Linked DNA regions of Sus scrofa. The protein of the gene in region 2 purifies or fractionates together with the protein of the main gene of each other region. This does not show direct contact. Links are inferred from orthologs where the notes say so. Each region holds a gene or a part of one and is shown on either strand. Other genes may lie near its edges.

Region 1 (4,145 bases), on a different chromosome or scaffold from region 2:
TTAGCTGTTTAGGTTTATTCTCTGTTTCCTAATTCACTTTTCAGTTTTTACTCCTCAATCCATGCTGCAGTTATATACTATTACTTCTCAGATGGATGATAAATCCTTTTTTTTTTTTGTCTTTTTAGGGCCACACCCATAGCATATGGAGGTTTCCAGGCTAGGAGTCGAAATCAGAGCCACAGCTGCCGGCCTATGCCAGAGCGACAGCAACGCCAGATCCGAGCCGCATCTGCAACCTACACCACAGCTCACAGCGATGCCAGATCCTTAACCCACTGAGCGGTCCCAGGGATCCAACCCACAACCTCATGGTTCCTAGTAGGATTTGTTTCCACTGCACCACAAGGGGAACTCCAATAAATCCTTTTTAAACTACTCCATATTTGTGATCTCACTGTATTTCTAATTCCTCTACTGTCTGATTTGTGGAAAGTAATTAAGAACTTATTTCTCTCACTTTTCTTAAGGGCTTTCTTCAGTGGAAAAACTAAGTTTAATGTTCAGAGTCAACATTAAACTTAATTATATAAATAAGATTTTGAAAACAAGATTTCTCCCTGTTTAGAATGGCGAGGATGGAATTACCATAAATATGCTCTTGTCCTACCTCCTAATTACAGCATTCAAGCATTTATTAAATACCACCCTGTATTTAAGGTAATACAGAAATAGAGTCATTAAGGAATTTAGTGAATTTAACTGAAAGAATTTGCAATCCACCTGGGGAGGCATGAAATAAATCCATGGGGAAAAAACATAAAATGAAAGGACAGCAGTATTGAGCTAGAAAGTCACTGGAGGCAATCAGATTTAGATTTGAATTCTGGCTTCATCACCTACCCTGGCTATGCTGTATATGTAAGTTATCTTCTATACTCTAGACTTCATTTATAAAATGAGGATATCTTCTTCGCAAGCTTGTTGTAAGAAAAGAAAAAAAAAGAGCACCTAATAAAACATAGTGCCTGAAATATTCACAGGTACTTCCAACTGCTGTTGTTATTGTTACTATCTTAAAGGCAAAAAAGATTATTTAATCCAATTCTCACTTTACAGATGGGACACCAAAATATCATAAAATAGAATATGAATGTCAGATGAGTGCAACAAATTGGGCATAGGGCAAGTTCATGAGTAATAAATCACCAGTATTCAGGTCAGGCTTTTACAAGTGGATACTGACTTATGAAACAAACACTGCTATAAAATTAAAAACAATTTCATAAAAGCACAATTGCTTCTTTTCACTGATTTTCAAACATGGATTGTGTAACTAAACACAGGTTTACAGACAAGAACAAAATAAATCCATGCCAGAAAGATTAAAATCCAGCTTTTCAATAAGAACAGCAATATAGTATTTATGGGGTGGGGAGGGGAGGTTTCCAAATTCAACAGGTGAGGCTTCATTGAAAGACCATGACTTCAAAACTTTGCTCTGTTGGCTAGATGTAATTTTGTTCCGGGACAAATTTAAGACAATATTCAGGCTTTTCGCTAAATACTACTTCACTAAATGCATCTTGTAGTTAATTCTGAGGCACTACATTTCTTAATCTGGTCAAATGCTCAATTTATATGTTTAAAACATACATAATTTAAACTTTAAATGAGCCAAGTGCTAGCTTTATATGACAAGAGGGCCACTTTATGTTAATCATCCCCACTAAAACTGTATTCAGTTCTTTTTTATTTCAACATTATCAGTGACTTGTCTTATTGTTTACTCATAAATATTAAGTCAGCAGCACTAAAAACATACTTATATGAGCAATGAAGAAAGTAATTTTCACTCTAGTAACTGCATTTCTATGCTAATTTTCAAAGCCTCTCAGCATTTCCCATTAAATCTTTTTACCAACTTCTGGTTACTATTTTTTTTAAAATTTCTGTAATTTTCTCTTCAGTCACTAGATTTATATTCAAATTCTTTCGATAAGTCTACATTTTTCTTCTTTTGACTAACAAAGTAACGTCAACAGGAAAATTAAGTTCCAAGAGGTAACAGAAGCAGATTTCTACTTTATTGAAAGCTGGAAATGTAATCAATACATTACAATCAACAACTACTCAACTGGACAAATTGAAAGTAAGTTAAAAGGCATAGCAGGAATAACCACACTTTAAAGAGTTTCAAGGTTAAAAACCAGTGCACCTCTGGGGTTATTTTTGAAGGGAGTTGAGAACCTCACACCAAGAGAAAAGGGGTCATGGCCTATGCTCAGGACAAGTGATAAAGTACACATGCATTCAACGGGAAAGTTAATTTTATCCTCTCACTCTTATTTTCTGTCTGGCGGGAAGTTTTTCAACACAGGGGTAACTTTCAATAGAGCACATACAAATAGAGGCAAAAACCAAGGGTTCTACCCTGTATAAGGAGAGGGTCCAAAATGTGGTGAATTCAGCGGAGCAGAAATGCCTGGAGGAAGGAGATCTAAATCAAGACCAACAGCCGGCAGTAGCCGGCGAGGAGGACGAAGGAACCTGGACCCACCCTCACTTCCTGGGCCCCCAGTGGCAACTCGGCTGGGCAACGTGACTCAGGAAAGCACCCGGCTGGCAGCGGCCTAACGCGGATGCCTCCGCGGACCTCCTGGGGCGGCCTTTCCCGTCTCACCTTTGGCGGGCTGGCGAAGAGGCCGCAGTCTGGACCCTTGTGACGCGGCGGTGGCGGTGACAGCGGCGGCGGCGGCCGTGACGGCGGCGGCAGCAGCAGCTCGGGCTCAGCCGGGTTCTGGCTCCGCGAACCGGCGATGAATCAGCCCGATTCCATTCAAAAGAGTCGCCCGGGCCTCCGCCGCGAAGCACTTCCGGGTTCACTGCTCTGCTCCGGCTTCCGTTCCCCCGACGACCAATTGGAGACGACTCTGGAGATGGGCGAGCGTCCCAGGAGGAGCTGCCCGGACTGACAACGCCTGCCGCCCGCTTCCCCGGTCCCAGCTGGGAGGGCGGAGCGGAAGTTAGCGCCGAGACCGCTCCTGCACCTCCGACATCCTCCCTTTTCTGCTCCCGCCTCTCCCTTCCCACTTCTGCGCGTTCTGCGAACTCCGAGATCCGGGACGCAGGCCTACACAGCCTGGGAGGTGACTGGTTAGGAAATGGAACTGCAGGTATGCGAAGACCAGTACCCTTTACGTTTTGGTGTCCACCCGCGGCCCTTCTTAAAAACGAAAAGGTTCCCTTGAACTAAACTTAACTTGGTCACCTGAGAAGCAAAATTGAAAAGGGAGGGGTGTGAAGAGTGGGAAACAGTGGAATACTTTTTTCCATACGACATAATACCCACCTTCTTGTCTTTACCGCTTTGCAGAGATTGAATTTCAAGGAAAACCAAAATTTCCTAAATAGTAAAACCATCTATTTTAAGCTCAATGCAATTTACAAGTTTAAGAAATCATTTCCTCACGTTTCTCCGGGTAACTACCATCAACAGTAACGTTTTGCCCATTATGTGCTCTGTGCTAGGTTTTCAGAGAGCAAAACTGCCCAAGAAATAACTATTGACAGGTTTATATTTCACTTCCCTACAGGCTCTCTTTAGGGCAGCACATTTACCAAGTCCCTCTCACTTTGTCAGATATATTACAGATAACTAACATCTTCGAGGCATTCCTATATCAAGAATTTACTGGATGGAGGGAAAAGAAGATTATACCATATGAAACCAAAGCGGTTTGTGTGGCATATTAACACCCAATTTCCCCCTCAAAGAATTCCACCTAAAAATGTATATACATTGTTTTAATCATAGGTAATACTAATTATATATGGATCCATGTCTTTATCTTTTCCCTCAAACCCGTGCCTTTTTTTTTTTTTTTTTTTTTTTTTTTTTTTGCAGATGTCCTTCATGTAGTTTCCCTAATCAGACCCAAGAGTAGACACCTCTTATTCACCTATTCCCACTGGCTTCCCAATTAAAAACTCTGGAAATGACGAAGGGTCTAATCTATAAAATAGTTTTTCAATCCACCACTCCCCTTTCTCCATTCTCTCTACTCCAACTCTCTACTCCTTAACTCAAACCTGCATTATTCTTTTCCTAGAATACTGCAGTAATCTCCTTGATCTCCCTGCCTCCATTCTGTCTTAATCCACTCTCCACTGGCAAATGTCCTTTCTACTATACAAATAAAATC
Region 2 (3,564 bases):
TCCAAATCTATTCACCACCTTTACCCTGATGTGTTGTTATGATAGAAACTATGAAAATTGAACACTAGTATTCCAATCTTCACGTACACTTGGGGCACAGCATGCGACAGAGGTCTGCCAGTGACCTAAGTGGAAGTCTACTGGTGGACTTCTAAGAGTTTACTGTCCTGCTAAATGAGGCAAACATGACTAACTTATACTCTGAGTAGAAAAAAACAAAACAAAACTATTTTTATTAGCAGATATACAAAATACACTAGTATCATCACTTTCAAATTATCCAAAGACTATACAGATCTCTACAAATTATAAAACTGTCCTTCAAATTAAAAAAAAAAAGGATATACAGATATTTTGAGACCACTTTTCATAAGGTACTACGATACAGACTAATAAAAACTATCAAACTATGGAAGAAATACAAATGCTGTGTCCCAAAGAATTCTGTTGTTTTGAATAAACTATTCAGGTATGTTATTTTTCAGGAAGGAGAACAAATGATACATTTTTGTACTAACTTTAAGATTATATTGGTCAAACAGTATTACTAACAAAAATATTAATCTACCACATTAATCAAGTGTGATGTAACTGTCATCAAATACTTAATCAGAGGATAATTTACCATCAAATAAGTAATCCTATCTTCATTGTGACAAATGGATTCTTAACTGTACAACATATATAATATAAATTTCTTAATATGATTTCTACCTTCCCTTTAATATTTGCTTCATATTGAAAGACAACAGAAAATGCAAGTGGTCAATGAACAGCTTCTAAAAGCTGAAGTGCAAAAATACCAGATTTTATCACACCACAAATCTACTCTTTGGTCTTTGCTACTGGATTGTCAACACTGTCTTTTATGGCCCTAACTCTTTAAGAACAAATCCTCAGGCTTGTTCTTTTAAGGATATACAGGCATCTTCTGCTAAACATCAGTAATCTTTTCCAAAAAAGTGTGAAAACTGCTAACTGGGAGCTTATTTCCCATTATTTTAATTGGAAAAAAATTATAATACTTTTTTAAAAAAACAATGCAAAGGTGAAAAAAAAAAAAAAACCCTTATCTAACTTCCTAAAGTGTAACCAATACACAGTTAAAATTTATCATTTATAACTATCCGGTTCGGATGTAAAACACTCTGCTTCCTAACCATCAATTTATAAAGCTGTTAACAGAGTTGGTTTGCATACATAACATGGCTTATCTTAGAAATATCAACATTTTAGACCCACACACCCTTTGACATGTCATGCTCCTCAGAACATCTTCAAGTGATTTTGACATTCTACTAATTATATATAAAATGTGCACTTTATCCACATAGTGTACTTTTATGTGTACTTTATTCACATAGCGTGGTTTTTTTTTTTTTGAAATGTTAAACTGAGTTTTATAGACATAAGTACAACTTAGTTAAAAAAACACTGCATTTAGAGTACAAACATTCATAACATTTGGGTATCAATAAAAAGTTGCTCTACTGAGAAAACAATAAACATTTTTGTATGATATACCTGTATACTTTGTGATATAGGTGTATCTGAAAAATAACTTACAAATTTATACACAATTTCCTTTGCAAAAACAGAGTTTGTGGTGGACTATTCAACACATGAAACTGTATAATGAGAGCTAACAAATATAATTAACATTCAAAATAAAAGTACTAATGCAGTTTTATAATTCCTACTAGAAATATACTATTGTAAATACAGAATATTACAGGCAAAATAGGGTGGGGAAGAGTGTAGATACTGGAATAACTATAATCAACTGCTAAATTATACAGACTTAAGCTAAAACAGTACACAAAGACTGGGCATAATCACTCAGTAAGTACCTGTAAGATGAAGCACATAGCCAAAATCAAGGTGGGTACATCCATCCTGTACTATAACCCCTAATGGCTTGCTGCATTCAACTGTGCCAAGACAGACATGCTGTTCTGGTAGTGTACACTTGCTGGGGAAACGTGTGTATATTGGAGTCAATGCAACTCCCACAGTACACATACTGACAGTGTTCACTTATTTATCCACTATGTGAGCAAATTTATGAAATAAAAATACACATTTTAATTCAATAAAGCTGTAGAAAGTATGAAAACAACTTTATTGTGGAAACTTGTAGAAGATGTAACATAATTCCATTTCACTACTTTAAACTTGATTCAAATGATGTTACCTTTTCAGGTGTTCTCTAACTTATATATATGCCCTACACGAAAAGCTTCCTCTTTTAAAATATGATTACTTCTGGTAGGGGTGTCAGTAATGATTCTTGGCAGTATGAGTGTGCCAAATGCCTGGGAGAAGATGAGCAGGATATGGGAAGAGAACATTAGAGGAAAAAACTGAATTGTTTCTCAGGTAACTATTACAACATTTTGCCTTGCCTTCAGAAATACAAAAAGATCACCAATTCCTCTTTTTGTTTCTTTCACCACATAGTACTTGGGTTCCAAAATGCATGCCAGATATTTAGTGCAGCTATTCTAAAATTTAATAGACTTTGTGGCCTATTTTAGGTGATTACCTACCCTTCACTATATTTAAATATTTAAAAATACTTAAAAGTTCCAATCAATCCAGTAACAAAAGAACTTTTGGGAATATAACCTGCTTCTATTTAGAGATGATCAGAACAGTAAAATATAGTTAAATCATTAACTCAGTTATTAATTCTGCCCTTTACCATAAAAAAAAAAAAAATTGATTCCATTATACTACCATGCCCTAAGGTCACATAATTAGACAAAATAAGCAAAAGAACAACACTTGACAAATTTTTTAATTCTCAATTAAAAACAGAACATCTTACCTTTAAAATCATCTCTTGCTCCTTGTCCTTCCTTCCTGTTCATTTTTATGTCAGAGCAGTTGTTAGGGGCACCTTTAGAGTTTTCAAGGTAAGCTGAGCTTGCTCCTTTCTTGGAGGGATGAGGATCACAGAGTTTTGCATTAATCTTATAAAGCTCAAGGGCTTTAATAGCTGCTGCATTGTTATCCATACGACGAAAAGTTGGACAGGAAGCACAAAACTCATTCGTGCAGGCCTCATTTCCACAGCCTTCAGTTAACTGGTGGTAGTAGCGTTCTATTAGATGCTTTGCAGCTGCTCGCTTCCTGTACCAAACATTCAAACAAGCACAGTGATTAGTACAGCTCTCAGATACAAAGCTCCAAAGATCATTAGCAAGGCCAAAGTTAGTCAGGCACTGAAGTAATAAACTTGCATATTAAGATGAGGTGTAGAAAATGGAGATTCACTATTTACATAAAACTTTTTTAACTGGTGAAATATTTGACAGTTATTTCCTAAGATATTATGATAAAGAATAACAATGCTTCTCAAAATCACTGTTTTAGTATGCTTTTCTCTGGACTTTAAAAAGGGGAGAGGGGTTTGTTTGATGTTCTTTGTTAAGCATAACAACTAAAAATCACAAGTTTTACAGCTAAAATTTTTGATATTTTATCACTTTAAAAACCAACATTAAAAAAGAGTCTACTGAAAATGTAAATCCAGCTTTCCTTTATATAATCAACATTTTG

Evidence for each region.
Region 1: the proteins of UBE3A (region 2) and PSMD14 purify together in Homo sapiens (affinity purification with mass spectrometry; 10 studies listed by BioGRID and IntAct, with this or other methods). This does not show direct contact. The link is inferred for Sus scrofa from reciprocal best matches to the Homo sapiens genes UBE3A and PSMD14.

Annotation. Positions count from the first base shown.
Region 1 is NC_010457.5:68,106,061-68,110,205, reverse strand, and holds the start of PSMD14 (26S proteasome non-ATPase regulatory subunit 14), read right to left. Parts: upstream 2,828-4,145; 5' UTR 2,624-2,827; intron 1-2,623.
Region 2 is NC_010443.5:141,953,171-141,956,734, reverse strand, and holds part of UBE3A (ubiquitin-protein ligase E3A), read right to left. Parts: intron 3,136-3,564; coding exon 2,831-3,135; intron 1-2,830. UniProt on the Homo sapiens protein: E3 ubiquitin-protein ligase which accepts ubiquitin from an E2 ubiquitin-conjugating enzyme in the form of a thioester and transfers it to its substrates.